7 linked regions of the Bombyx mori genome follow. The protein of the gene in region 6 purifies or fractionates together with the protein of the main gene of each other region. This does not show direct contact. Links are inferred from orthologs where the notes say so. Each region holds a gene or a part of one and is shown on either strand. Other genes may lie near its edges.

What was found.
Region 1: the proteins of protein max (region 6) and paired amphipathic helix protein Sin3a purify together in Homo sapiens (affinity purification with mass spectrometry; 3 studies listed by BioGRID and IntAct, with this or other methods). This does not show direct contact. The link is inferred for Bombyx mori from reciprocal best matches to the Homo sapiens genes MAX and SIN3A.
Region 2: the proteins of protein max (region 6) and Rybp purify together in Homo sapiens (affinity purification with mass spectrometry; 3 studies listed by BioGRID and IntAct, with this or other methods). This does not show direct contact. The link is inferred for Bombyx mori from reciprocal best matches to the Homo sapiens genes MAX and YAF2.
Region 3: the proteins of protein max (region 6) and max-binding protein MNT purify together in Homo sapiens (affinity purification with mass spectrometry; 7 studies listed by BioGRID and IntAct, with this or other methods). This does not show direct contact. The link is inferred for Bombyx mori from reciprocal best matches to the Homo sapiens genes MAX and MNT.
Region 4: the proteins of protein max (region 6) and histone acetyltransferase Tip60 purify together in Homo sapiens (affinity purification with mass spectrometry; 3 studies listed by BioGRID and IntAct, with this or other methods). This does not show direct contact. The link is inferred for Bombyx mori from reciprocal best matches to the Homo sapiens genes MAX and KAT5.
Region 5: the proteins of protein max (region 6) and bromodomain-containing protein 8 purify together in Homo sapiens (affinity purification with mass spectrometry; 3 studies listed by BioGRID, with this or other methods). This does not show direct contact. The link is inferred for Bombyx mori from reciprocal best matches to the Homo sapiens genes MAX and BRD8.
Region 7: the proteins of protein max (region 6) and ruvB-like 2 purify together in Homo sapiens (affinity purification with mass spectrometry; 3 studies listed by BioGRID and IntAct, with this or other methods). This does not show direct contact. The link is inferred for Bombyx mori from reciprocal best matches to the Homo sapiens genes MAX and RUVBL2.

What each region holds. Positions count from the first base shown.
Region 1 is NC_085108.1:991,196-995,473, forward strand, and holds the start of paired amphipathic helix protein Sin3a, read left to right. Parts: upstream 1-1,478; 5' UTR 1,479-1,651; intron 1,652-2,738; exon of another isoform or gene 2,739-2,924; intron 2,925-4,278. Other genes in the region: protein seele, read right to left, coding at 330-397, 488-575. UniProt on the Homo sapiens protein: Acts as a transcriptional repressor. Corepressor for REST. Interacts with MXI1 to repress MYC responsive genes and antagonize MYC oncogenic activities. Also interacts with MXD1-MAX heterodimers to repress transcription by tethering SIN3A to DNA.
Region 2 is NC_085134.1:5,459,482-5,463,484, reverse strand, and holds the start of Rybp (ring and YY1 binding protein), read left to right. Parts: upstream 1-1,203; 5' UTR 1,204-1,372; coding exon 1,373-1,508; intron 1,509-4,003. UniProt on the Homo sapiens protein: Binds to MYC and inhibits MYC-mediated transactivation. Also binds to MYCN and enhances MYCN-dependent transcriptional activation. Increases calpain 2-mediated proteolysis of YY1 in vitro.
Region 3 is NC_085122.1:12,291,062-12,294,561, forward strand, and holds part of max-binding protein MNT, read left to right. Parts: intron 1-1,346; exon of another isoform or gene 1,347-1,602; intron 1,603-1,974; exon of another isoform or gene 1,975-2,037; 5' UTR 2,038-2,167; coding exon 2,168-2,549; intron 2,550-2,563; exon of another isoform or gene 2,564-2,695; intron 2,696-3,500. UniProt on the Homo sapiens protein: Binds DNA as a heterodimer with MAX and represses transcription. Binds to the canonical E box sequence 5'-CACGTG-3' and, with higher affinity, to 5'-CACGCG-3'.
Region 4 is NC_085124.1:9,217,630-9,221,564, forward strand, and holds the start of histone acetyltransferase Tip60, read left to right. Parts: upstream 1-1,135; 5' UTR 1,136-1,223; coding exon 1,224-1,268; intron 1,269-1,340; coding exon 1,341-1,467; intron 1,468-1,957; coding exon 1,958-2,110; intron 2,111-2,535; coding exon 2,536-2,670; intron 2,671-3,382; coding exon 3,383-3,534; intron 3,535-3,935. UniProt on the Homo sapiens protein: Catalytic subunit of the NuA4 histone acetyltransferase complex, a multiprotein complex involved in transcriptional activation of select genes principally by acetylation of nucleosomal histones H2A and H4.
Region 5 is NC_085117.1:1,939,524-1,943,619, reverse strand, and holds the start of bromodomain-containing protein 8, read left to right. Parts: upstream 1-1,296; 5' UTR 1,297-1,648; coding exon 1,649-1,833; intron 1,834-3,109; coding exon 3,110-3,290; intron 3,291-4,096. Other genes in the region: uncharacterized protein LOC101740762, read left to right, coding at 1-100. UniProt on the Homo sapiens protein: May act as a coactivator during transcriptional activation by hormone-activated nuclear receptors (NR). Isoform 2 stimulates transcriptional activation by AR/DHTR, ESR1/NR3A1, RXRA/NR2B1 and THRB/ERBA2.
Region 6 is NC_085131.1:6,419,340-6,423,628, forward strand, and holds the start of protein max, read left to right. Parts: upstream 1-1,489; 5' UTR 1,490-4,289. Other genes in the region: uncharacterized protein LOC101745073, read right to left, coding at 832-911, 1,083-1,194. UniProt on the Homo sapiens protein: Transcription regulator. Forms a sequence-specific DNA-binding protein complex with MYC or MAD which recognizes the core sequence 5'-CAC[GA]TG-3'. The MYC:MAX complex is a transcriptional activator, whereas the MAD:MAX complex is a repressor.
Region 7 is NC_085117.1:3,017,033-3,020,532, forward strand, and holds the end of ruvB-like 2, read left to right. Parts: intron 1-436; coding exon 437-657; intron 658-1,243; coding exon 1,244-1,382; intron 1,383-2,255; coding exon 2,256-2,367; intron 2,368-3,009; coding exon 3,010-3,044; 3' UTR 3,045-3,463; downstream 3,464-3,500. UniProt on the Homo sapiens protein: Possesses single-stranded DNA-stimulated ATPase and ATP-dependent DNA helicase (5' to 3') activity; hexamerization is thought to be critical for ATP hydrolysis and adjacent subunits in the ring-like structure contribute to the ATPase activity.

The sequences.
Region 1 (4,278 bases), on a different chromosome or scaffold from region 6:
TTGAAACCACACTTTGTACTGGAGAAAGTTATGACTATTTTAGTGTGACTGTCAACATTTACTTGAAATATAGTTATAGTGAAATATAGTAGAAACAAGTTATAATTAAATTATTTTTTTCGTAATAATTTTAACTGTCGTGCTTAAGTTTTTCTCATATTTTAGATGCTAAAGGAAAGATTCATGTTAAATTTGTATAAGATTATTTGAAAACATACAAGCAAAAATTTTTAAATGTTTAACAAATTAAATCAATCTTGAAAAATGTAAAAGAAAAGTTTTAGATGCAGATTTTTTATATTTTTATTTTAAAGTTTAAAATTACTCACATCGACTCTTTTCCATTTATCTATGCTTTTTATCACCTGGTGAAGCTCCTCAAACGTCGTCCGACAAACTAGAAAAATTATATAATTTATATCAAATAAATATTAAATTATCATATTAACAAAATAATTAAAAAAAACAGAAAACACGTAGTACACACCCAAACATTTTAAGTTTTTAGGGTCGATTCTTGCTGAAACAACACTGAATAAAATCACAAATGCAAAAATTAAACTATTCAATCTCATTTTTGTATTAAAAGTTCTTGAATTCTTCTTTAAATTGCGACGAATTAACGATAAATGCGATGAAAATTACAGACGTGTGTTAAAATTAATCTTTTTTTTGACAATTACACGATCTTTAATATTATTGGCCAGTAGAAAAAAATCAGACCGTCCGTATTGGTCGATGAAACTATTAAGCAATCAATTACAAATGAAACATTTTCGGTATTGTTGGCCTATGGAAAAGGACTATCATATTTTACTGCATTATCTTCTAATTTTTCCTTATTGAACTTAATTTGTCTTCAACATTGATTGAAGAAAACAATCAACGATGACAATATATTTGGTGATAAAGGTGTCAATCTACAGTTTTCGTAAAAATATTAATTTCCTAACATTAAAGCATACAGAATAGCTGCTTAACGTTGCGTCAATATTTTGAAGACTATACATAGTTTATTACATTTTGTAGATATTAGTAGGTATAAAGTATAGGTATGTAATCGTTCTACGGCAATATACTTAAAAAAATGGCAATTAAAAATTTGCCTATCGATTACCTACTACATAAAATATATCATTCATACACAATATGTGTTTATATAAGTACTCAATATATATTATTGTAGACGTATATTTACAAAACTATCGCTTTGCACAGGTCCGCGTGGGTGCAACAACCTGCACTAATGATTTTTTCAAAAACTTATATACCTACAATAGAACTCTTCAGACAATGACATAATTTAAATGGTACAACAGAATTGGTTGATTTTGTGTACGTTTTTTTTCATTAGTAATAACGCGTTTACGTTTCTGAGTTCTCGATCGTCCGTTCTCCGGTTTTGCGTCCTCCCCGCGGCCCTCTGTCCTAGCCCCGGGCGTCAGCCGCCAACCCAAACCAACAAAAACCAACAGTTCGCATTCGGTCTCTGTCGACGTAGGACGTTTGCTCAACGTAATGTTAAATTATTCTATGCATTTGAAATTCTTTAAAATCTTAAAGATACCTTAAAAACGTTTGCTATTACGTCGAGAAGTGACGTTCCTGTGATTTATTCGTAGAAAACCGAGAAATTCGAGCATCCAAAGAGGTGAGTGACTGGTTGTCAGATTGCGTCTGCCATTCAAAGCTAATTGTCTATACCATTTATCTATTTTGTTTTGCTTTATATCTCACCTTTTATAGAAATATACCTACAAAGCACCCTTTGCAGACTAGTTATACGCATTGGCCCACACCTGTTCAGATACCATACGTTAACCTTTTGCCGCACGCATAATTAGACCAATGTAACTTCTATTTATGTAACGTTGCAAAGAATTCTTCTTATCACTTGAACGTGTTATGTGCAGTTAGAAAATCTCAATTTCATAATGGTAAATGGCGCGCTGGCCAGTTTCAGACGACCTGGCAACATCAAGCGCGCTAACTATAACAGAAATAAATATCTAGATGTTCTTGTTATTATCATGTAACCGGCATTTCCCTTTGTTTTCCGTGTGAAATCCTCCTTTGTCCTTCGGTAGGGAGCGCTCGATGCGCGAACGTAAAGGAATTTCGACTCTAGAAAAGCGCCATAATACATTGATGATATTGATATACATTATTAGGTTGGGCCATTCGCTCGCGTCGTCGTTCTTACAGCGCCTGTGTTTGTGCGTATCTACGTGGAGGACGTCAGTGTGTTCGTGGTGTAGTTTGTTTATACAGATAGCTACGGAATTCTCGTCTTTATCCCGTTGGCACGTAACATGAAAGTCGAGCGCAGGTCGGCGTCCTCGTCGCTGTTTGTCTATCGATCTCTGCGGTGGCCAATGGCACATGTCGGTACGGTCGTGCGCGGCCGCGCCTCGGTGAAAGCCGGCCGTTCGCTCGACATTTTACAATTTATGTATAAATTCTACATTAAATCAGCTTTTCAACACTATACCTAATATCTTATCGTTTCATGAATTGTTACGTTACATGCATTGCAGTCACCACCCTTCCCTCTCCATATACAGAAAACCACATGATCTACATTATGTTTTCAAATAAGAAAAATACGCGGGACTGTATGATGATAACATTATAAGATAGATAGTGTTTTGTGGAGCCTTGCTTGGAGCTCGAGCGTCACGGCGCTGCGGGGTGGGGGAGGGGAGGGAGGGCCTGAAATAGAAGCGCGGCTTGGAGCGTGCGACGTGGCAACGTCGCCTCTGCGACCGAGCTCAGTGTCGGTTCAAAATGGCGTCTGTGCGTGATCAATACTGTGATATTTGCGTTAAAAATGTGGTGTGTGTGGTCGCAGGACGGCATAAATGCTACCCTGGATCCTCAGGGTGTGCACCCCACACCCAGCCCGGGCTGTCACCCAGCTCACAGTACGTATTACAAACATATTGCGCCGACACTCATCGCTTCATGTATCTAGGTATGACTACCCATATGATTCGTATGGGCAGAGCGACTGTACTACAATCATGCAGTATATTGATAATACATACACAGCGCAAGCCTTAAAGAAGTTCCTAAATATTTTATTATATTACGGTTATAAATGCCTAGACAAGCAAAAAATGTGTCATCACAACGAAACGAATTGCACCATGATGAGGCATGATGTTGATTACGTAATCCCAGAATAATTTATATTGGACCATGTGCTCGTATTGGAAAGGAAGGTTTGAAAGTAGCAAATTGAGAACTTTATAGTGTTTCTTATAATCTTTTAAATTTGGATTACACAGGTTTAAATATAAAACAAAATGGCGGCATACGTGTCCGTATTTAAGGCGTAGTAGATTAAAGTTGGCAACGTCGCATTTCGCGCGCGCCCTCGCGGTGATTGTTAGTAGGCATGTTGATTCGATAAGAAGTTCCAAGGCTAACAGTTTTCGTATTTCCAATGTTTACAACAATGGATAACTTGAATGCGTGATAATAAACGAATAAGTATGTATTCTTGACGTTAAGAATAATTTATTTAATATCAGTAAAACATCGTCCTACGTATAATAAACACGTTAAAAGGTCAAATACTAGTGAGTATAAGTGAGTAAGTAGAGCAAGAGTATAAGTACTAAGTAGAGTATGAGTATACAAACTAAGATGATTCACTATTTATTAGTTTGTGATGGACTGCTTTTGTTCTTAACTGAGAGACTCTTAACATTCTTAATTTTGACCATAACCTGAACAATATAATATGCTTCTTCAATAAATTAGTTTCTTAATTGTAATCACTTAATTTACAAATGTGTTTCGGAATAAAAACTTAAGGATGAACCTTAAAAATTAAGGAAATCTTTTAACGTTACTGGTTTAGGTTTATCAAATGAAATAAATTAAATCCCTGTGATAGTTATTATCTTAGGCTGTTCACCCAATACCTTTGCCTTTAAAGTTAAGTTTAGGCAGTTAAATAAAAATAAAAAAACTTCATAACAAACATTTGCTTACGCACCGCTTAAATTAAACTACATAGTTATGGATTTCAATCGAAAAACAGACTACACAGTGGCTACCAGTAAATCGTTAAAGAGACTATATTCGATTTTTTGAATCGACATTCGTTATTACGATGTACTTAGAAGTCTGTCACCACTTCGATAAAGAGGCACGACACGAGAACCCTCTTATTGTGGCCGCCGGTAACTACATTCCCGATCCTGCGGAAAGAATGAAAAGCAGTCGACGTCACCCCAAACACGTCAATTTCGGATCCTCCCAATCCAC
Region 2 (4,003 bases), on a different chromosome or scaffold from region 6:
ACAAACAATGTTTAATCTATTCTCAATTTGACAACAGACGTCAAGAACAAAAGCTTGATAATAAATAGTATGCATGCGTGTGTGCGTTAAATACATGGTATGTAGTGTGTGTAATGTTTTCCTTATTGATTTAATTAATGTATATTTTATGCATTATTTAAAAAAAATATTAGCATTGTGCACTTCTCTATATTCTCTTTAAGTGTGGAAATTTTCAACGCCTCCGTCCGCGCAATTTTCGTAAAAAGGAATATTTATTGGTCAAGGAAAGCCAGGCTGAAATTAGATTCGTATTAGAAAAAAAAAAAACAATAAATTCAAAGTTAGAATTAAACGTTCGTTTTAAATTGATAATTTTCGTGAAAAGATCCAAGATTTTTGAACCACGCGTATTTCGCTTCAAGTAGAAAAAAATGAAAGGACTTCTTTCGTAAAACTCAGGTAGAGATTTTATTTCTATCGCCGTCACAAAAAAGGGGTCGTTTTCTAAGAAACGGCATAGAAATATTTCTCAAAGGCTTACCGTGCTTCATAGTTTTTGTTTAAACGATTTTAAGCTTTAAAATAACCAGTATAAGACACATAATTGAATTTCTGCGTTTAAGTATCGGTACCTATTTAAAAATGTACACAATTTTGTTGACTGATATTTGGGTTCAGTGGTTTAGTGTTGGTGTGTCATTTGGAATAGATATTTCGAATTTTAAAACGTTTGGAGTTCTTGACCTTTACTTAATGTAGCGGCCCTTTTGTGGCTGGTCAAAGACTTGTGCTATCAGCTAATTCTTTTTGGTTCCAAAGTAATGAATGACTAGATAAGACTAGGTTCATAGACCTTATACTAAGAAGATCCACCTCCCGCCTCAACAATCCACGGAAAGAATAATATTATTATGGTAACGTTTGCGTTATTATTTAATTTTATCAACTAGTTCACCACCATTCTGCCTGTCTTTGCCGCAAAATAGCCCTTTTGAATTTTGGGACCAATAATAAAATGACCATATCCGCATTCGGTCTTCTATTAAGCCCAACCAACAATATACTTATGTACTTTATTCGCTGTTTATTATTATGTTTGAATTTTATTCTAAGAAAAATTTATAAATCTTAATTCATGAATAACGCCATCTAGTATTGCTATTTTGTAGCTAAAACAGCTCAGAAGAATGTGGCGCCTTCACGCTGTTTAACCGACGTAACATTGACGGCTGTCATGGCGTAAAAGTGTACAATCTTTGTGCACAGTAAAACAAAAATAATGATTTCCCGACGCATTAATTCACAATTGTGCATTAGAAATAATAGTTTTCAATCAAAAATATCATGATAGACGTGTCTTAGCTACGTTTAGTTGCGTGTATGCATTAAAATGGACAAGAAAAATGCCATTAGAAGAGCCAAAAGGCCATCAAAAGTGCTGGAAGAAAACTACTGGGATTGTAGTGTTTGCACGTACAGGAATAACGCGGAAGCTTTCAAATGTTCCATGTGTGACGTTAGAAAAGGTAAATACTGTAACTGAACGCCAATATTTTTCATATATGTAAATTCTGCACACGAATTTGACCTAAATGATCTAATTCACGCACACAGAGCCACGTATCTTAACACGATGATTGTTTCAATGAGCTTTTTATTAATTAACTACGTAACCTTTTCATATAATAAAACGCTCAGAACTGCAGACATTTAAGTATAAAAGGGCATTCACATTACGTATTCAAATTCTAACCTAAAACCTAAACCAAGGACGAAAATTATTGATTAGTCTAGGGCGACGTTACGAATAAGAGCGAATAAGTATGAGATTCATATAAGAATAAAATCTCGACGTATCAAACATTGATTACGAGTTAAAGTTCCGCAATAAAAGTACGGAAAGAAGTAATCATAGTATTTCTACACCGAAGTCAGTAAGTAGTAGAATATAATTTTTTTTTTAAATTGGTAACCAAAAACTTCACTATAGCGGTGCATTTTTCTACCGGCTGCTTCTCTAGTAGACCTTCAAGACGGTTTCCTATAATGTTCTTGTATCAAAATAGGCAAAGCATCAAACACGAATTACCTAGATGACCTGACTTAGATTTTTTCGTTTTCTGTACATACAAAGTAGAAAGGTTTGTGTTTTTGTATATCAAAATAGTACATAACACTGGACAAAAAAAAAATCTTAACTGAAAAGTATAATGGCTGTTTCTAATTACAACAAGCAATCTTGAGTATACCATGAGATGGACATGAACCACCATATATACATAACTGCTATTAAAATATTCCATCATATTTGGCATTTTGCATAACTTTAAGTGTATGATGTTAGACATCAGTATTATACTAATTTTGTTGGCAAAGCACTCATTTGTTATGGTATGAAGAGCTTACCGTTATTCAAATAAGTACTTAATGAGCGAGGACATTCATGTTGTGATCTCAATATTATTGCATAGTCCAGAAAAAAAAAAAAATGTACATACATATTGACGCTTGAAAGGCGAAAGTGACTAAGCGACAATAACTGATTTGTACATAACAAAATATATATTTCTAGGTCTATTAAAACCTATTTCAATCCTACAGCTACTAGCTAGATTCTACTACAGCTAGATTCGTTAAAATAAATTTTGTTTTCAGGTATTCCAACTTTCAATTAGTCTACTGTACAGTTCACACATTGTCACTTAGTCATGTTTGCCTTTCAAGCGTCGATATGCTCTCTGGAAAACAACTGATGTTCTATTTTGGAAACATATATTTACTAACCTATATAAATTATCTCTTATTATATAGAAGTGATAAGGCTGCTCATTGCCACCACTTGTTTATTTCTATCATAATATACATGTTTCTTGTATGTATAAGATATACTTTCTGTGTATGTTTACTACAAGGATTGCCCTATCAATGTGTGTCACTATCGATAAATATTGTCAATAACATGGGAATTTCCAGCATGTTGGTTTATAAACTTATAACACTGTATATGAATCGTCTATTATCAAAGGTGGCAATCTGTGCATTTGGACAAAAATTTTTATTGGTATGTCAATACAGATTGATTTGAATATAATCGTCTCCTTCAAAGAATACGGTTCAAAACCTGCATTAAATAAAGGTTAATAGTTAACCTGTTATTTATCTAAGATGTCGTTCCGAAGAGTTTTGTGACTGCCAATGGAATACAAAGTCAATAATTCGTTTTTCTGATTTACCAATCATTGTCCAAAAGTCAGATTGCCGGCTTTGATAATAGTCGACTCATATATAAGATTAATTTATTCTTTCTACCCATTTTCATTATTGGCACATTCTTACAGGACAACTGATGGTAAATGGTTACTGTGTTGCTCACAGAATTCTGTAATGTCAAATGTGCAATTAAAGTAACTTGTACTTCTGAGGACACTTTTCAAATACTTGTTTGAAGAAGGACATGTTATAGTGGTCTCTTGAAACAAACTGAAGAAAATTAATTGAAAAATGAGAGACCATTTGGAAAATTGTTTTTTTTAAATCTGGCGTTAAGGAATTAGTTTGTTTTGGTACGAAGGTAGCTGAGTGAGGTAATTTTTGCAATGGGTCCGAATATTTCATAGTTTTTATGGTAATAGACAAGTGAGGTTTGAATAATGAGCTATTTACTGGTAAGTAGTAGGACCTCTTGTGAGTCCGCACGGGTAGGTACCACCACCCTGCCTATTTCTGCCGTGAAGCAGTAATGCGTTTCGGTTTGTATAGTGCGGCAGCCATTGTAATTATACTGAGACCTTAGAACTCATATCTCAAGGTGGGTGGCGCATTTACGTTGTAAATATCTATGGGCTCCGATAATCACTTAACATTAGGTGGATGGTGAGTTCGTCCACCCATCTAAGCAATAAAAAAAAATTTTTTTTTTCAATTAAATTATTTTGGAAATTTTGAAATTCCTAATCGTAAACATAGTCCTACTGACTCTCGACGACTCTTGTTGACTCGTACGTGATTACCACGGTAACTG
Region 3 (3,500 bases), on a different chromosome or scaffold from region 6:
TGTGCATCCGGTGCACACTAATTATTGGGAGGGACTGACCGATCAGATCCTCCTTTACGTAGTCTATGTCGAGTTCCTTGGGGACTCCACGTATCACTACGCGGAGTTCGCGGTCCTCCTGAAGAGCATAGGTGTGATAACCTATGTTCTCCTTTCGGAGGTAAGCAGAGAGGGCCCTATGGTCGCCCGGCGTTGCGACCTTAATCTGAATCCCATGCGCGACGTTACGCGCATGGGTATAATTAATTTTGTTGGCCTGAAGGGCCTGGGATACGCGATTCCACGCTGACTTCTCCTGGAGTATCAGCGGGGGCGGGACAACTGTTTTAGGCGCGGGCGCGGTTTTTGGGCGCGGCGGTGGGATTACGCGGCGGGCGGAGTCCGACTCCGGCGTTACGACTACCTGCGGTCGGGAGGCGGTCGCGGACTTGGTTTGCTTCGTCATGGAGCTCCGGGACTCCACGACGCGAGTACGCTTTTTACCGCGCGTTACAGTTTGGAACCCATCCGAGGTTCCGGGTTGAGGGCTAGTCGCGGACTCGAAGTCCATCTCCGATTCGGTATCGGAGCCTGAACTAGACGCTATTGAGGTCGCGACGGACGAAACTGACGTGATTGACGCGGGCGCGGGGGTAGCGGGGGCGGGGGCGTTAGACGCTACGGCGGCGGCGTGCGTACGTGCGCTTGAACACGGACCGGCGGCGGGGCACGCGAGGCATGCCTGCGAGGCATGTTTGGCGACGGCGGCGAGAGATGCGGGGGGAGAATAATTACCAAATGAGGCCCTATAGGCTTCGAATTCGGGCGCGATTGACGGGTATTTTTCCCGAATGAAGTCGATGAAAAGTTTTTCCTCCATCTTTACGTGATTTTCGCCCGGGGGGGGCGGCCCCGGGACTTAAACACGCGCTCGCCTTGCGGCGAGGCCCCTGCGTCGGTAACACTAAATTGGCCGAAGCGATTCTAGGAATTTTAGAATTTTAGTGAATAGAATAAATAGAATAGAATTAGAGTGAATAGAACCACTGCACAGTTCCCGGGCGGCAATGCCTTGCAATTAGGCGCAGGTACAAATTCCGAGAAACACTTGGGCCACAGATGTGCCACGAACAATGATCTATTATCACCGGTAGTCACTTCCGACAAAACAATGAGCACGTCCACGCGCGTCGGTTGCTCAAATCGGAATCGCATTGAAAAAGATGAACCCAGTTGAGACTATTTTTAGATAATTTATCATAATGCTTATTGATTTTAAACTAAATTGGTTAAATTGAGGGACAGCACTTTGTACTGTAAAATTAATAAATATTTACAGTAAAATCAACAGAGAAAACACCAGGAAGGAAACTTGTCTCGGTTTTATTTGTTTTTGTTCTAAAATCCACAATGTCTGCCAATTCGGTCGGCTGGTCTACCAGGGTCGCATGGTGTGGGTGGAAGTTCTTTTGAATGTCAGTCTGCGTCGGCGGGGCGGAGGGGCGCGGAGGTGATTGCACGTGCCAGAGACGCGCCATGCGCTCGACGCCCCCCGCACTTGTTGAGCGCCTCGCCACAGACCTCGCTTCACATCACCCGCTCGCCGCTCTCCAAACTAGTTTCCTTACACACGCAGTCTCATTATTGTCAGCAAATATACGGTCACTAAGAGACTCGTTCCACAGAATACTTATTAATTTCGCTTATCAATGATGCCGCTGCACAAGAAAAATATCGATATTTTTTGTTACAATGTAATTGTTAATAATCGATTCAACCTAACCAATTTTAATTTCAAGGGATAATTACGATTTGTTTTCGACGAATGACTGTACATTAAATTAGTAGGGTTTCACCGAATTTAGTTACTACTCTTTTCTGTAGATGTATGTCACGGATGGATTGCGCAAACGCTCTGCAATACGTCACTCGCTTCGTAATGAAAAGCCAAATCGGTCGTAATTTTTGTATTAAATTGAAAGAAGACTTTTTTAGGCGACATTTTCTGATCAACAGATCGCAAACGCATTCGCTCAACAAATTTATATTTTTTTATAGTACAGCCAACATTTCGATTATGATATAGTGAGGGGTTCAACAAGAACTCTGTGTAGTTAAGTGACAAAGACAGTGTGTGAGAACTATGAGGACCCATAAGCGCAGCTAACGATCGGTTGCCCATCGTAGAATGGGTATACTCATGGAGACGACGGAAGTGAACCTGGGCAGCGGGTACAAGCGAGCGCGCGAAGTCAGCACCATGGGGGCACCCGGCGAATACTACGCGGACACGTTCCACACCATCGCCATCAATACCAGGGAGACAGAGTTCGGAAGCATTGTCGAACCAATTCCGATCATGCTCAAAGCCTACAAGTACGCTCCACACGGCCACCCGGCTAATGGTTACGGTTCCCCGCAAACGACAGCTCCTATTAACCCTGTCCCCCGGCTACTCCCGGAGGCACCACCAACATCGGCCTTCGCCCCGATTATTTACAAAAAGGAAGAGATGAAAACAGAGAAGGTTCGACCTCCACCAAAAAAGAAATGGATTAGAGAATATTTAGGTAAGTTTGGATACCTGGTATAATCGTTCGTAATTTGATAAAGTTGTACACGACGACGCATGCTAGACGCTAGATTTGTCGGCCTCTGTCTGACCTCGGCGTCATGATTTCGTTCATCGCCGACCAAGAACACGTCTGTCGCGGACCTGTCACGACAGAACCTTTATTTACAAGTGTTATCATAATGTTAACGGATAATTGTACACGGTACTCACTAATAAAGGCTTATCATCTATCGTATTACGGGTGCTTAACTTCAAATTACTAACTAAATTGAAAGCTGCGCTGTATTCTATGTATAACAGAAATAACAGAACTACCCTTAGACTTAATGTAAAATACAGGTCATTACCGATGTCATAGGTATATTTATATGTATTTATTTTTGGAGTTTACTCCTTTAGAATCGATTTACATATATAGGCCCGGGGTATGAAAATTATGGGGACCAAAATCGTACTAGCATGTCACACGAAATGCGTTATGCGCCTGATTGCGCATGTCACACGAAATGCGTTATCGCAGGTGACGCCGGGCTGCTGCGCCGGCAGTCCGCCACAAAGCCTCGTACTGATCGCGCGTTTCTCTCATTATTGTATTTTCATATATTTGTTAGTCGTTTGTTTTGTGTCTCGTTAATTTGTTAATAATCTGTAGTGTATCGTGTTGTCGTAATATAGAACTATTTCTCGTATTGTTTCGTTTAATTTTTTATATCCAGTAAACTCCAGTCGTGCGTCGGAGCGGACACACACACTTTTTTTCTTAATTATTTAATGTGCCTAAAGATTTGATCTATTTTGATACATCACTCTTTTATGGCAACATATCTTTCGTATGTTTTTCCAGAATTTGCCTAGATGAATACGGTGGCTTAGAAAAGACCGCCTTGTATAATTTATAACTGCCTGTTGAGTGATTTTCAATGTTAATTATTCTTTGGTGTGCAAT
Region 4 (3,935 bases), on a different chromosome or scaffold from region 6:
TCTCCTGGCTGAACCTTTGCTCGCCCACGTGTCCTGGTGAAACTGGATAGACTTCCAACAGCTATTTCTCAAACATAAAAAAACGATTTTTGTTATTGGTGTCTATGGAGCGAGGAGTTAATGGAGCGAAAAGTCTATCTATAACTTATCCAAAGTTGCTCTCGACAACATCTTCAGAACAAAATAAAATAAAATTTGCTTCTAACACATGTTCATAAGCAACTTCTGCGTTAAAAGAATGACAACGTGTAAAAAATTAAATGGAACCCGCGAAAAGTTTACAAATGTAATTATTTCCTCTAGCGGGGTTCACCACAGACTGCTAGACAAAATTATTAGGGTTTTAATACTGCCTAGTAGAAAGCCTAGACTTTCTCCACGTGCCCATGTCGCCAATGACAACATCTATAAGCCATTCGAGACACTCTGATCTTCGATCACGCGATTGAAGGGTTCCATTACTCTATGGCTTAATTTCTATCTTATTCGTGTGTATTAAGATTTTTTGAGAATCAAATAAGATTTGATTCTCAAAAAATCATGTAATCCAGTTTTAGCGCACGAGGAAATTAACAAAACCTGCTTTTACTCAACAACCCAACGGCGCATCTCTTCTCGGTGCCTCACATCACGGCTCATCAGTTTGACGTTTGTCAAGACGACCAGCGGTTCTCTAATCCCTCCCGCTTGGATAGGGCCGTTAATACTCCCGAGATACTCCGCTAGGTCAAAACCAGCAAAACAGAATCACTTCTTTTACACAATGAGTAGTTCAACCTTTTGAGCCGAATGCGATACAAATGATCCAAAGCAAAGTAAGGAATTAGTGAATTGATATAATTTCATTTCGTTCCATTACACTTTTTACATTGCTATTATATATTTGTGTTCCGGTAACTATTTGAGACAAGGTAAGCTGTGACTCACGAGCACATTCGCCCATATATGCATTACGAAATAGCTAAAAAAACATATCAATGATTGGTATCTGCAGATTTACGTAAGCGCTAAATAATACATAATCGGTAGACGCTTGAACTCTCAATATTTATTACATTTCAATTTTCGTTACCTACTAGACTAATCACTTATGAATAATATTCCCTTTGCCTATTTAATGTCAGATTGACTGCAATCTGATTACTTTGATATTGACAGCAATGACAGCTAAGCATTCAAAGCAAATAGCTATTTTTGTGAAAAAATAATATTATTATTTTAAAATGAACGAAAATGATGATGAATTGACAACATTTTGTGATTCAACGGTGATTTCCGCTTATTTAGAATATATATGTGATATAATACCGTGAGATTAATTTATCATCTTTTTGTTTTAGTCATCGCTTGTTGAGGGATGCCGTCTTCCTGTTCGTATGCAAGGAGGAGACGACTGGCCACTCGCCGAAATTATAAGTATTAAAGAAGTTCAGGGCCAAAGAGGATTTTACGTGCATTATGTTGATTGTGAGTAAATAATGAACGGGTATGTTTGTTATTCATTTTGGAAAAATTGTGTGTAACATTGATAAGAAATTGACTGTGATGCTAGATTAGCAGCTAATTACCTATATCTATAAGCTTTAGTTTTGTTATATATATGGGAAATTTCTAAAATAAAGCTACTTACCTATGTTGAGACATTTTATAAATTTATAACTAATGTGAGCTTGTTATCATATGTGTAATTGATAAACAATCTAGTAGATTGAACTTAAAGGATACTTAAAAATGTTCTACAAAGGCACATGTCTAATTGAGATCTTAATTTAAAAAACCAAAGGGTGGTAAATGGACTAAAATCCAATTTAGTAGCAGAAAAAGCAAAGAACACTTGTGATAGGGTGTCTTGTAAGCTTGCATACGTATGTACTAACAGAATAAAAAGATTTTCTCCTGTTTTTCATGAAGTGCTTAATTTTTTTGAAATTAGACTTAAACATAAAAAATTTTTCAGTTAATAAACGTCTCGATGAATGGGTGGGTGAATCTTGGTTGGACACTCGTAAAGTCCAATTCCCTCGACGGGATGGAACAGCAACAGGTGGTACAACTACTCCAAAGAAAACACTCATTGGATCAGGAGGTGGCGTTATGCCTACTTTTATTAGTATGTGTCTTTGTTTTTAGAGCTTAATTAATTGTTATGGTCATTTCACTTAATTTTAAACAATTCAAAGTTCAACTTCACAGATAAAGAATGGGATTTGGTAATAAATTGCATGATTTATATTACTCTACTATTACTCTCTACTATTACTTGCTATTTTTCCTCCACCCGACAGTTCATGTTGGACTGGATAAAAGCAGTAAAACAAATAGAGTCCAAACTTTAATGTGTTATAATTCTAGCTTTAGTTGATGTTGTCTTGAATGCTATAATTAATATAGTAGAATATATTTGTACTTTTATTTTGTTACTGTATGATTCTTTGTTTTGCCCAGTACAATGTCTCGTGCCAAGTGTAGGTTAGTTTGTGTTACCAAACATCCATGATCAACCAATTGGCAATAAAAACAAAATTTTGTCTGCAGATGACACAGTCTGCAATGAGAATCAGAAGTCTAGTAATGCTAGAACTATAACAAATCAACTGACCCAACCCAAAACACATGAAAAGGCCCATTTTAGCAATGCACTCAATGGTTCCGCACAAAAAAATGCACTTGGTAATGTACCATAATAATTTATTTTGTGTAATATGCTTTTATTTAGGTAGATATGTCATGCTTTTATTCTTAAAACAATAAATTTATTTTTTGTACTTTTAAACAGTAGCAGTAGTAGCTACTGGTATGTATAATGTGAGCATCATTGATGTTATTCCAAATGATTGTTTAGTTACCAACATATTATTCAACATGTCAACAGCTTAGTAGCCATCAAGTTGTAAGCTTAGAAATAATAATAGTTTCTTGTTCCCTTATAAGCACGTTTGAAGCTCAGTTGTGAGAACCAGTAATACCATAGTCCATATATTGAATATGAATATTTTCTGTCATGGTAATATTTGATTAACATATAATGATCATGTTAGTAATTATTACCAATTAATGTGACAACTAAGCAATTTAGTATTTTCTTCGGTTTTCGCCAGTCGTAAATATAATTAAGGCTACTTTTATACCTTAATGTCTTAACTGTGTATGACGAGTCATCCGTGACATAGAAAACAGTAAATTATTCATAACTACAGTAAAAAACGACAGATTATACTTTAAAAATAGCAATTATAATGAAGCAATTGTTTAATTTTGGCGTTTATTTATTGAAAGAAATATTGTAATTCTATTGACGTGAAGCCCTATTAATGTGAAATGCTGCAGTATTGTGTCAAATCACTCTTAATTTAAAATACTACATTCCCGGTTTTCTGCACAGCTGTGGTTGAACCAAGACAGTTGGTGTCCCGACCCGCCAGTCCGACTCTGGTAAATGATTCTTCGTCACTGGTCAATGGAGGAGCTGTCCTCGCAGCAGCCTTACAGAAAAAGATGAACAGAAAACGCAAACCGCCCTCTTTGGATAATGACGTAAAATATCAATATTAATATTTTTTATTTATTTATTGCTTAGATGGGTGGACGAGCTCACAGCCCACCTGGTGTTAAGTGGTTACTGAAGCCAATAGACATCTACAACGTAAATGCGCCACCCACCTTGAAATATAAGTTCTAAGATCTCAGTATAGTTACAATGGCTGCACCACCCTACAAATTATAATTTTGCGGGTTTCACTTTTATTACACGATGTTATTCCTCCATCGTGGAAGTCAATCGTGAACATTTGTTGAGTACGAATTATCATCAGAAAAATTGGTACCCGCCTGCGGGATTCGAACACAGGTGCATCGCTCAACACGAATGCACCGGACGTCTTATAACCTTTAGGCCACGACGACTTCTTTGTCTATGTCTAGTCGTTGTAGGTCTT
Region 5 (4,096 bases), on a different chromosome or scaffold from region 6:
GAGGCCTAAAGGACGAATGTCAAAATCTGATGACATTGACACCGTGTTGAAGTTTATTTACGAGAGGCAGAGGGGAAACTCGGCGGGACATAGCTCATAAAATTAACTAAAGAAAAACTAAGTTTCAAGTTACACACAAAATATATGTATCTAAAATTTGAGAGAAATTAATGTGAGATATTATTTTATTTTCCGGAATTCCTTAAAAATAATTAAAAAGTCGTTTGAATGCTGATAATTAATTTCGTGTGACTCGTTTCAGGCCTAAATGACAAACATGACCCTAAACGCATACTGGGAATAATAACCTATAAGGACTTTAAAAGATTAGATTTTTAATTGTGTCGAATCGGTAGGCGATTCTAAGGCTCACTTGGCACGCGATTATCATCCCTAACGCCCCACGACATAGACAACTCAGTGGATTGTGGAAAATAGTGGAAATATTTTTTTATTTTTTTATATCTTAGATGGGTGGACGAGCTCACAGCCCACCTGGTATCAAGTGGTTACTGGAGCCCATAGACATCCACAACGTAAATGCGCCACCCACCTTGAGATATAAGTTCTAAGGTCTCAAGTATAGTTACAACGGCTACCCCACCCTTCAAACCGAAACGCATTACTACTTCACGGCAGAAATAGGCAGGGTGGTGGTGCCTACCCGCGCGGACTCACAAGAGGTCCTACCACCAGTAATTACACAGATTATAATTTTGCGGGTTTCATTTTTATTACACGATGTTATTCCTTCACCGTGGAAATCAATCGTGAACATTTGTTGAGTACGTATTTCATTAGAAAAATTGGTACCCGCCTGCGGGATTCGAACACCGGTGCATTGCTCAACACGAATGCACCGGACGTCATATCCGTTAGGCCACGACGACTTCAAAAAATATGTCATAGATCTATCTTATTTAAAAAGTGTATTAGAGTCTAACTATCATAGATTTATACACTTAATATATTCGAGATAACTATACTGAGACCTTAGAACCTATATCTCAAGGTGGGTGGCGCATTTACCTTGTATGGGCTCCAGTAACCACTTAACGCCAGGTGAGCTGTGAGCTCATTCCCCCATCTAAGCAATAAATAAAAGAAATAATAATAATTGAACACGCCAACTAACAAGCCGCTGAACGTAACTTCTCGGGATCCTCCAAAAATTTCACTGAAAAAGTCTACAATGAAATGACAACCATTTTAATGAGATTATATATTTTCTTCCTATATCATCTCATCTTAATTGATTTCTTTTTCATTCCATTTCGTTTTCATTTCATTTGATTTCATTTCATGCCATGTTTTATATTAATCAACTTCATTTATATGTAAAATTATAATATGAAATAAAATATTATAATTTTACATATAAAAAAGTTTTCATTACAATTAAAATAAGACTTGACCCGAAGGTCTTGATAACCAGGTCATTAAATACTTTAAAAAAAATATATTTGTTTTGTATCATGTTTGACGTTTGTATCATAGAATAAACACTTATTAATTGTGTTCTAAACAGTTAAATAATAAAATAAAAATAATATACTTTCAAAACAGTAAATACACATTACATGGACAATTAAACAACTATAAATAGTTATGTAATCTCGAAACTCCATTTCCAAAACATAACCTCAAAATGAGCTCGATACAAGAGCGTCTTCAGCTCAAAAGAGTTCCTCTGGACACTTGGAATATACGTGAACAGCTATGCCTGGCCTCCGCCGTGGTCAGAAGCGGGGATCAGAACTGGATGTCGGTTTCCCGCGCTCTAAAGACCCTTGGCGAGCCAAACAGGCCTCCGGACTGGTATTCCCAAAAAAGGTTTTGTTTTTCTTTTATATCTACTATATAATTATTGATACAGGTTTGAAATAGCTTGCGATAGTGAAGTGGTGGCTGAGTTGATGAGAAACACATTCGTTTTTACACATTTATTTTTTATTTTCAAACCATTTTTGCATTATTCACCAATGAAAATTCCACCACGCTTTCCACGTTATTTGAACTCGATAAAACTTAAAATTATATTCAGTAGAGCTATTATAGTATTTAGTAGGCTATAATAGGTCAACACACACTCCTCTCTCTCTCATATCGTCATTCACACACTCCATCCATGTCTTCTTTGGTCAAGTTTTCCCCCTCTACCTTGCACTACAATTTCCATAAATCTCCTAGTCTCATGCATCTCCTCTCTACGCATAACATGTCGATACCACGTGAACTGTCCGCTCTTTAAGTCTTTCCACTCGCTAAAAGACACCCTCTATAACTTTGACAACATTAGGATTGGTTAAACACAGCTCTTATATTATATGGCGGGTGGCCCCAATAATTAAATGTTCAAAAGAAATGTTAATACAACATTTTGACAAAACAATAACACCGAGTTAAACAAAATAAAATGAGATCATTGTCAAAAGCCAATTGAATATTCAATATTATAAATAATTTATAAAAATATATTATCAAATAAACTAAAATAAGTAGCATATATAGCAATAAGTTTGTTCTACACACACTTATCACATTTTATTATTATTCTCATTATCCTCTCGCAGGTCTGCTGGAAGAGATTTCTCAAAGAAATAAGTAGTGCCTTTGTACATAATTTTCCTATTACTCTGTACTGTGTCTTGTTTTCTGTGTGTACATAAATAAATAAATAAAATAAATAATAAAATAGCACTAGCTTTAAAATAAAATCATTTAATGTAATTACACTTTGGAAAGAGTTCTGATATAATGGCATATAAAAAGAGTCTAACTAAGTATGTACCTTCTTTATTTAAAATCTATGAAAAAATTTAAATTTTGCAGATTGCTCCTTAAATCCCCAGTAAATTAATCCTATTCATAAAAAAATTAACAAAATTACAAATAACTTATTTGAAAGACACTAAAGCTCTAATTAATTATATTCATTCTATTATTTTAAATAGTTATATTGTTTATGAGCTTATTCAATCCATATCAAACTGCGTAGATGTCATGTCTTCCTCTGAAGCATTGGATAGCTGAATGATAATGAGATTTAGATCTACAAGAACTGTGGGCTCCGTTATCCGTATGTCATTAACACATTTCCATCCATCAGCTGTGCTGCACAATATGGAACGCTATTAGAACATGTGGAAACGCCGAAACGAAAAAAGAGAAACTCTGACGGTGGCGTGGAAACTCCACAGGAGAGTATATTGAAACGTTTAACCCAAGATCGGATAGCCGAGATCCAGAAGAATATTGCTGAAATGAGTCAACAACATGAAGTAATGAAGGTATTTAATTTTCAAGTGAAACTTCTTTCTTTCTTCTTTATGAGGGTAAAATTTTTACAGAACGTCACGCAGGTATGCAACGGAAGGACATCAAACTACTATTAAAATTAAGTACTTGTCAAATGTCAGTAGTAGTAGTTGTTGTATTTTTCCAACTGGAAAGGCAAATGTATCATATCATACAGCCTAATATTTTATTTTTTTGTGAAAAATGTTAATAGGAATTGAAATGAAATGAAAAGAATTTGGAACATAGCATGAAATTAAATTAGTCAATTCAATTGGCAAAATATTAGTCATCTACAATTTAGAAATCTAAGCATAATGTGAATGTCAACACTGAGGTTTGAGATTGACATTTGACAGACTTTTGGCGGGAACATATCTTCCTTTTTCCCTTCTTCTAAGTCTTGGAAATCTAAAGTTTTAGATTTGCATAAATATAAGTAAGACTTATAAATTAGTTCGCCAAAAAAGTTTCACTTCTGACATGTGTACTTTGTACGCACGCACTTTTTTTTTTTTATAAATCTCAAGCTTTTTATAAAACTTTAAGTGCTGTCAGAGTTGTTAAGTATTGGCTAATATCTGACCATTTAGTGACAGTTCGGTGTCAACATCAACATCAACTTTTAAAAGGTTTTATAGCCTAGTAATGAGAGTTTTAAGTCAAAGTCTTATTTTTACACACCAGTGCATCGCTACATACGAATGCACCGGACCTCTTATCCTTTAGGCCACGACGACTTCACTTTGACTCATAAATATAAGCTAGTAATATATCTTTCTTTACCTTTGTACCACAG
Region 6 (4,289 bases):
ACAGGTTCCTCAATCTAAAGAAAAGTGCTTAAAGTTCATGGGAATTTTTTATTGCTCTTGGTTGAAAGATAGCCTTATCTACTAGGTAAATACCACCATTTTAACTTTTCGCGAAGCAGTAATGCATTTCGGTTTAAAGGATAGTCTAGCCTATATATTATAATACAATTAAGACTTCGGCAGCATCTTCCAGATGGGTGGCGTATTCAATGTCATATCTATGGCCCCTATAATCACTTAAAATTAGGTGCAACACCACTATCCGTTGGCCTACTAGGTCTATTAAAAATTGAAAACAGGAATTTTATTTTAAATATACCGGCGCAATACAGTCCTGACTTCATGCAAGCAGTTTGTAGTTAAGTTACTGCACAATAACTACAAATTGCAATGTACTACAATTTATTACCTATTCATTGCAATTCTAGCATCAGCCACCAAAGTTTATTATATGTCAAGTTAATTATATTGCACCTATCAAAATCACCAACGAAATATTGCTGTAATACTATGGTTTTCCAAAACTTCGGATTATAATCTAAACCGTCATTAGTTAGAGTTATTACAGTTAGAGTTAGATATGAATAGTTTTCAAACAATCGATAATTAATGACTCAATGCTACATAGGTGTGGCTTAGGTTATCACTTAAATATTACACTTAATACACTTATTTAACAGGAGGTTATCAGATGTGGTAGCATTAAGCGTGATCATAATGATTCTAGACAACAATAAACTTGGTAGATACTATGATTATTGATCGGGGTTATTGGAGAATGTATGTATGTACGTCCTTTTGAAAGAATATTATTGTAAGTATGGGACTCACTTGTTGATATGCTTCACGTTGACCTGGTATAAGATAAGAGACTGGATAATCAAATTTAAATTTGGATACATAGTCTGTGTCTGTAAGTTCAAAAAATAGATTCTTTATTATTTCAATATTAACATGTGTTTAATTAAATTTAATGTTTTAGTACATAATTCGAGGTATCGCATGAATTATGTTTAGATTAATACTGACCATGGGCAGAATGCAACATGTAAAATATCAAATATAAATTTAATTTATACAACCTTTTGCAACTTGCGTACAATGAGGAGGTGTGATGTTTTCCAAATCATTCCCGTGCAATCCAATTACGTATTTTAGTAAAAAAATTACAATGGTTATTTTAAAGAAAACCATTTTTGTTGATACCGAAATTTTTAATAAGATATTTTAAAATTCAATAAAGTGAACAAAGGAACAACAGTAATATACGAGTTATTATTTGACACTGTTGTGTTTAAGTTGAGTGTAGTAATTAGGAATATTGCATCAGCAAATAAATTATAACGGCCACGAGATAAGGAGTTTAAAAAAAGTCTAACGGTATATTACGTAATAATATTTAGCTTGTTGAAGTTTTCCTCATTGTGATTAATCATCATCTGTTTTAGGTTGGCAAAATTATGATTTGACATTAGTTTAATACAAAAAAATATTTTGTTGATTACGTATAACTTCGAAATGTATGCAACGTAAGTATTTTAAAGAACGTTTATAATTTATAATTTTTAGCCGTCGTAGCCTAGAGGATTTGTCATACTGAGTCGTATCAAGAAGTGCGATGCGGGCCTTGAAATGCATCGGGTAGGTATAAGTTTTATACCCAATTTTTTGGTTTCCCGTAGGCAGCGGCTTGCCTCTGCCCCTGGAATTGCTGAAGTTCATGGCCCACAAGGGCAATAAAAAAATTAAAAAAAATTACACCTCGTACCTATCCTGTACATACGAATAATTATTTCGACAGTAAGGAATATGATAAAAATCTACTTTATAGCAACCCTAACGCCTGCCGCGTCTGATCGCGCGCCGCGACCAATCAGGGACTCTCGTTGTCGGCTCCCGGCGCGACTCAACGACCGAAGGGCTTTCCCTTTGGCAAGCCGCGTGCGCCCCTTTTCGGGCGCCGACAGTTCACCCGCAACCACCGAAGCATACACACGAGAACACGTCCGCACCTCGCTCGCTACCATTCCTTTTCGAACTTGTTTGTGGGATCCTCTGGAGTGTTCATACCCAGTGCTCCAGCTGGACAACACAAAACTGGCGCCCCAACGTGGTAAGGTAAATCTAGCGGTGAGTCGACGAATCATATCGGTTTTGCAAATAAAATTGTGAACTCATGATCATGGTGAACACTCGAAGTGATAACCGTGCTAGCCGAAATCGCAGGGATGATGATGCAACGGACCCGTCGTTCGCGTCCCGCGATCGGTCTTCCCGAGCGCGTCCGCCGCCCAAGAAAATGGCGCCGGCGACGCCTCGCGCATAATCTACGAGTCCTTTCGAGAAGCATCTACGAGCGCGTCTCCCGCCTGCGAAATTGGCGCTGCTGACGCCTCGCGCTCCAATCACCACAACCGATCCGGCGATAGCCACGTGGCCCCCGCCGAAGCCACCTTCTCCAGCGAGCACGTGTCAACATTAGTAGAGGCACTACAGCGGAGCCAAACAGAGGTTTTGAAATAATTATTTGAAACGATACGGCACAACACATCAACACCAGTGCCCGCATCACATGCACACGCGAACTTCGCCCGATGTACCGCGCGCTTTAGTGGGGCTGCAGGTGAGTCGCTTGATGCCTTCCTGGATGCGGCCGAGGCGTATCGCGACTGCTCCGACATCTCGGAAGAGAACGCCATCCGGGGATTGTCCGTGCTGTTGTGCGGCGACGCCGCCGTCTGGTGGCTGGGTGTGAAGTCCTCTATAATAATATCTTCGTGGTGCGATGCCGTCTCAGCCCTACGAGATGCTTTCGGTGATCGCAGGCCTCCACACCGTATAAACGCTCAACTGTTCAAACGAGGTCAACAAAACGATGAAAGAACGGACCGTTTCATCGCTGCGACGCGCGCTCTTCTCGCGAAGCTACCTGCCGGCGACCTAAGCGAGAAAGTCCAGCTGGACATGATCTACGGACTCCTCAGCCGCCGCGTACGGGAGAGACTTCGTCGCGACGAAATAAGTTCATTCGACGTGCTTCTGCAAAGAGCGCGCCAAATTGAAGACGCGACGGACGAACTTCGCTAAGAACACGATGCCTCAAGACCGACGGGAGAATTAGCAAGAAAGCCATACGAGTCGACGACCGGCACCGGACGCACCCGCCCTCCGCCAGCAACCGCAGCTCGCACGGCCACGTGCGCTCCGAGCGGCGCCACCCCCGGCCACGAGCCCACGACGCAGCCGCCGCTTGCTCTCGGAACGCCGCGTGTATTTGACTCCGCCGAAAGGAAGCGACGCCCGAAATGTTCGTATTACCATTTCTTCGGTCACGAGAAGAACCAGTGTCGTAAGTTAGATTCAAAACAAGGTGATCAATCTCATACTAACTTATTTCAAAATAAAACTCACTCAAAATCTAGTGAAAGTGAAGTTAAAAGTGATCAGTCATTTTATTGTGTTGATTCAAAAGTGTGTTTTAAATTTGAAAACGACAAATCAGAAAAATACCGTATTCGTAGTTCTAATTTAGTGCATGAAACTTGTATACCTATTTTGCCAAATAGTGATGCATGCACTGATACCTACACACATTATAAACAACGGCGAAATCCACAAAATTATAATTTTGCTGCCCGTAATTCAAATCGTTCGAAGTTTAAGGTTACTGATAACAGTGATAATGCCGATCGATCTCGTATTGATCGCCCAGGTTCTTCTCGAGAAAAGAATCACAATATCACTGCATGCAACACGAAATGTATAACATGTAATCGATCGAGTGACGATCACAAAAATAATAATAGTCCGAGCGAAAACCTTACTCACGTTAGCCCTTCAGCCGCCACAACTAAAAATGTTAACTCTTTGGTTGCCGAACGTAAAAATGCTAATTTTTTTTCAACAAAAATAATAATTTGGATATGTTTTCTAGCGTCGACGGACATCTTTGCCGCAATGCCAATGCAAACTGGCAATGTCAAACATTAACCTGCGCGGTCGCAGAGGATTCAAATTTTGTTCATCAAAGATGTCCGGACGACAGTAATATTTGTATACCATTAGTTGAAAATTATTGTGATAAAAACGGGATAAACCCGAATTTTCCGAAATATGGGAATAAGCGTGATGTAATGGGATTTGATTGTTTTTATGATTGCGGCGGAGATGACGATCTTAGGGGACCCCCTATTGGTCGTGACGTACGGCCGATTTTTAACATAAATATACTGGGTTTTGACGGCACCGCTTTAATAGACACAGCTGCAAAACACTGCATCGCGGGCCAT
Region 7 (3,500 bases), on a different chromosome or scaffold from region 6:
ACTTCCTACCACCAGTAAAAAAATTATGAAGCTCATAGATGGATACTCTTGCTCGAGCCAGACTCGGGCAAGGTAGGGGAGATTCCGATGGTAACTTAACCCAGCATGGTTCTATTGCTGACCAATGAACGTTCTGCTGTTCATCTGAAACCTCATGTAGATTTTATTTTTTTATTGCTTAGATGGGAGGACGAGTTCACAGCCCACCTGGTGTTAGGTGGTTATTGGAACCGATAGACATCTACAGCGTAAATGCGCCACCCACCTTGAGATATAAGTTCTGAAGTCTCAAGTATAGTTACGGCCGCCCTACTCTTCAAACCGAAACGCATTACTGCTTCACGGCAGAAATAGACGGTAGAAGTAGATAAGTAGTTGGGTTCGCGTGGTGCTGTCCACGGGCCCTATCGAAACTTTCTTATTTCAAACTCACCAGGCTCACATGCTGGACATTGAGTGCTTCTCGTTCCTCAATCGCGCGCTGGAATCGGAAACCGCTCCCATCGTGATCATGGCGACGAATCGAGGGATCACCCGGATACGGGGTACCACTTACCGCAGCCCGCACGGCATACCGCTGGACCTGCTCGACCGGATGATCATCGTGGCCACCTCGCCGTACTCCCAGAGTGAGCTCAAGGACATACTCAATATACGGTGAGTTCTATATATTTTTTATTGCTTAAATGGGTGGACGAGCACACAGCCCACCTGGTATTAGGTAGTTACTGGAGCCCATAGACATCTACAATGTAAATGCGTCACCCACCTTTGAGATATAAGTTCTGAGGTCTCAGTATAGTTACAACGGCTGCCCAGGCCTTCAAACCGAAACGCATTACTGCTTCACGGTAGAAATAGGTAGGACGGTGGTACCTGCATAATATATGTGTAACTATGTTTCTTTGAGTATTGTATGGTGGTAGAACCTCTTGTGAGTCAGCACAGGTAGGCAATTAACACCAGGTGGGCTGTGAGCTCGTCCACACATCTAAGCAATAAAAAAAAACTATACATATTATATTAACACTTTATAGTGTGTATTTATTATTGAGTTTATTTGTATATTTCAATGCACCTACCATTAATTAATCTACACAACTTTTGGTTGACTGGTAGATAAAGCCTTAGGTATTAAGTCCAGTAATATAGATGAATACATGAAGTGTAAAAAAGATAAAATGTTTTATCGATTAGGTTACCTCTGTAATTGCTTCTACATCTCTAGTTTTTCCCTTGACAGTTGCGAAGAAGAGGACTGTCAGATGTCAGCCGACGCTTTGACAGTTCTGACGCGGGTCGCCACGGAAACGTCATTGCGTTATGCCATACAGCTGATCACTACGGCTTCGCTCGTCGCCAAGAGACGGAAGGCGGCTGAGGTTAGAACCGGTTCTTGAGGCATCCGAGGTTACGGATACGTAGGGGGGGGGGGGGCATTAGACAGAAATTAGTAATACAAGTGATTTTATGTGTGTGTGTGTACGTGTTGTGTATGTTCATATAAAACTAACCCTCAGGCATAGCCCGCTGAGTTTCTCGCCGGATTATCTCAGTGTGTCGCGTTTCCGATCCGGTGGTAGATTCTGCGAAGCACGGCTCTTACTAGGATTCGTGTTAGCAACGTCGTCAGGTTTGAGGCCCGTGAGCTCACCTACTAGTTAAGGCTACGCTGAAATAGCCTCTCAAGGCTCTCAGCTAGGTAGGATAAAAAAGAAACTCGATAAAGGTTAGTCAAATTGATATGTTACTTTATACATATTTAAAGGACGACATGACCGGTCCGACAGACATAGTTACGTTAGTGGCGGATAGATGGCGCTGTCCGTTTTGATTTTTATCTTTTGAACCTTTTTTGAACGGTTTGAACCTTTAAGCCGAATTGGTTTGAAATTTTGATATGTATGGTAGAAGCGTAGCGCACCGGGCACCAGTTAATGTATATAAAAGTTGATGTGTGGATGTCGTCCGGAGAAACGGATAGTCAGATTTCGATGAAATATTTCGGATTAGTGCAATAATTCAGTAAAGCTACCAAGCTTCAGCGATCAGATCAAGATCTTATGTTTGAATTACAAGTATATTTTAGGTTTGTTTGTTATTACCTGCCCAAATTTAAAAGCAATTTATCTTGTTTATCGCTATTGTTGTTAGTTAGTATTATTAACGCAGTCGTGTTTTTAAATTAATTCTAAAGTAATGTTATACTTACATTCTAATGTTGAAGGATGTATTGTATTGTTCCTAAATACCAGGTCAGTATGGAAGACGTGAAAAAGGTCTACTCGCTGTTCTTGGACGAGCATCGTTCCGAGCAGTTTTTGAAGGAGTACCAGGACGAGTTTATGTTTAACGATGGTTCCGGCGGTACGTGTTTGAAATTCTACTAAAAACTCGGAAAACGAAAATTGTGTTGTTCCATTAATTACCCGATTTTTCGGGGAAACTTTTATTTTCCCAAAAAAATGGCAGACTGGTTTCTGTCTTGGAGTTCGTTTGCCCATTTACTAGAAAAAAATCTTATTCGGACTATTACAAACATAATAAGAAGGAGCTAAATCTATTGTAAATCAATATTTTATATATATCCACCAAATGCCTATATATAGTGTTTTAGTAAATTAGTCATATAGCCAGAAAAAAATATGATAACTTTGAGAGACTCACAGTGGCGGGCAAGGTGGATGGGAAATGATCCAGGTTTCGGAGCCTGAAAATTTGAGTTATCAGAATTAAATGTCGTACAATCTGGATACGATACGACATACTTCACTATCCCAACATAAGTAGCTACAGATCACAAGAATATGCCGTGTGCTAGCGCATCACAATGCATAGTAGTAAGCGACCGATTCGAGAAGGAGGTAGTTTTTTAATACATAGGAATCTTTGGTTGGCAACACTGTGTATGAAAATTTGTCAAAAGACTTTTTTCTCGACTGTGACCTAAAAACAAATACTTAAAAATAGTAATACATGACAATGCAAACTAATTAAATTTGTTTTCAGATGCATCGCAAGTGATGATGGAAGTATCTCAGTAAAAGAATGAAAACATCTTTCTACAAATGACACTGTTCAGTTTTACTTTGCGTAAAATTTATTATTTCTATGAAGCACTGAGGTTTTTACCTAAACCTACTATTGGTTGGTCGAGAAATATTTTTATACCATAAACTCATGTTTCTTTAAGTCTTGCAATACAACGTTCTTCATTGCTTCCACAACTACATTGAAGAGAAAATAATCTACATCATTTCTGTGGTAGGGTTCTGTATTGCCAAACTTAAAAAAAGTTGCTTGACAAAAAAAGTAATGTTTTAAATAATATGAAAGCAACTACACCATAAAGAATGGTTAGAATTTTGACCTACGATACAGATAATAATATGTTTCAAGAGCAAATATGGCTTTAAAACGATTTGTTAGTTTTTTAATTTGATAATAAAGAAATACAAGTGTATATTTGTGTTTTATTTCTCGAAAAAATGATAAAGAAA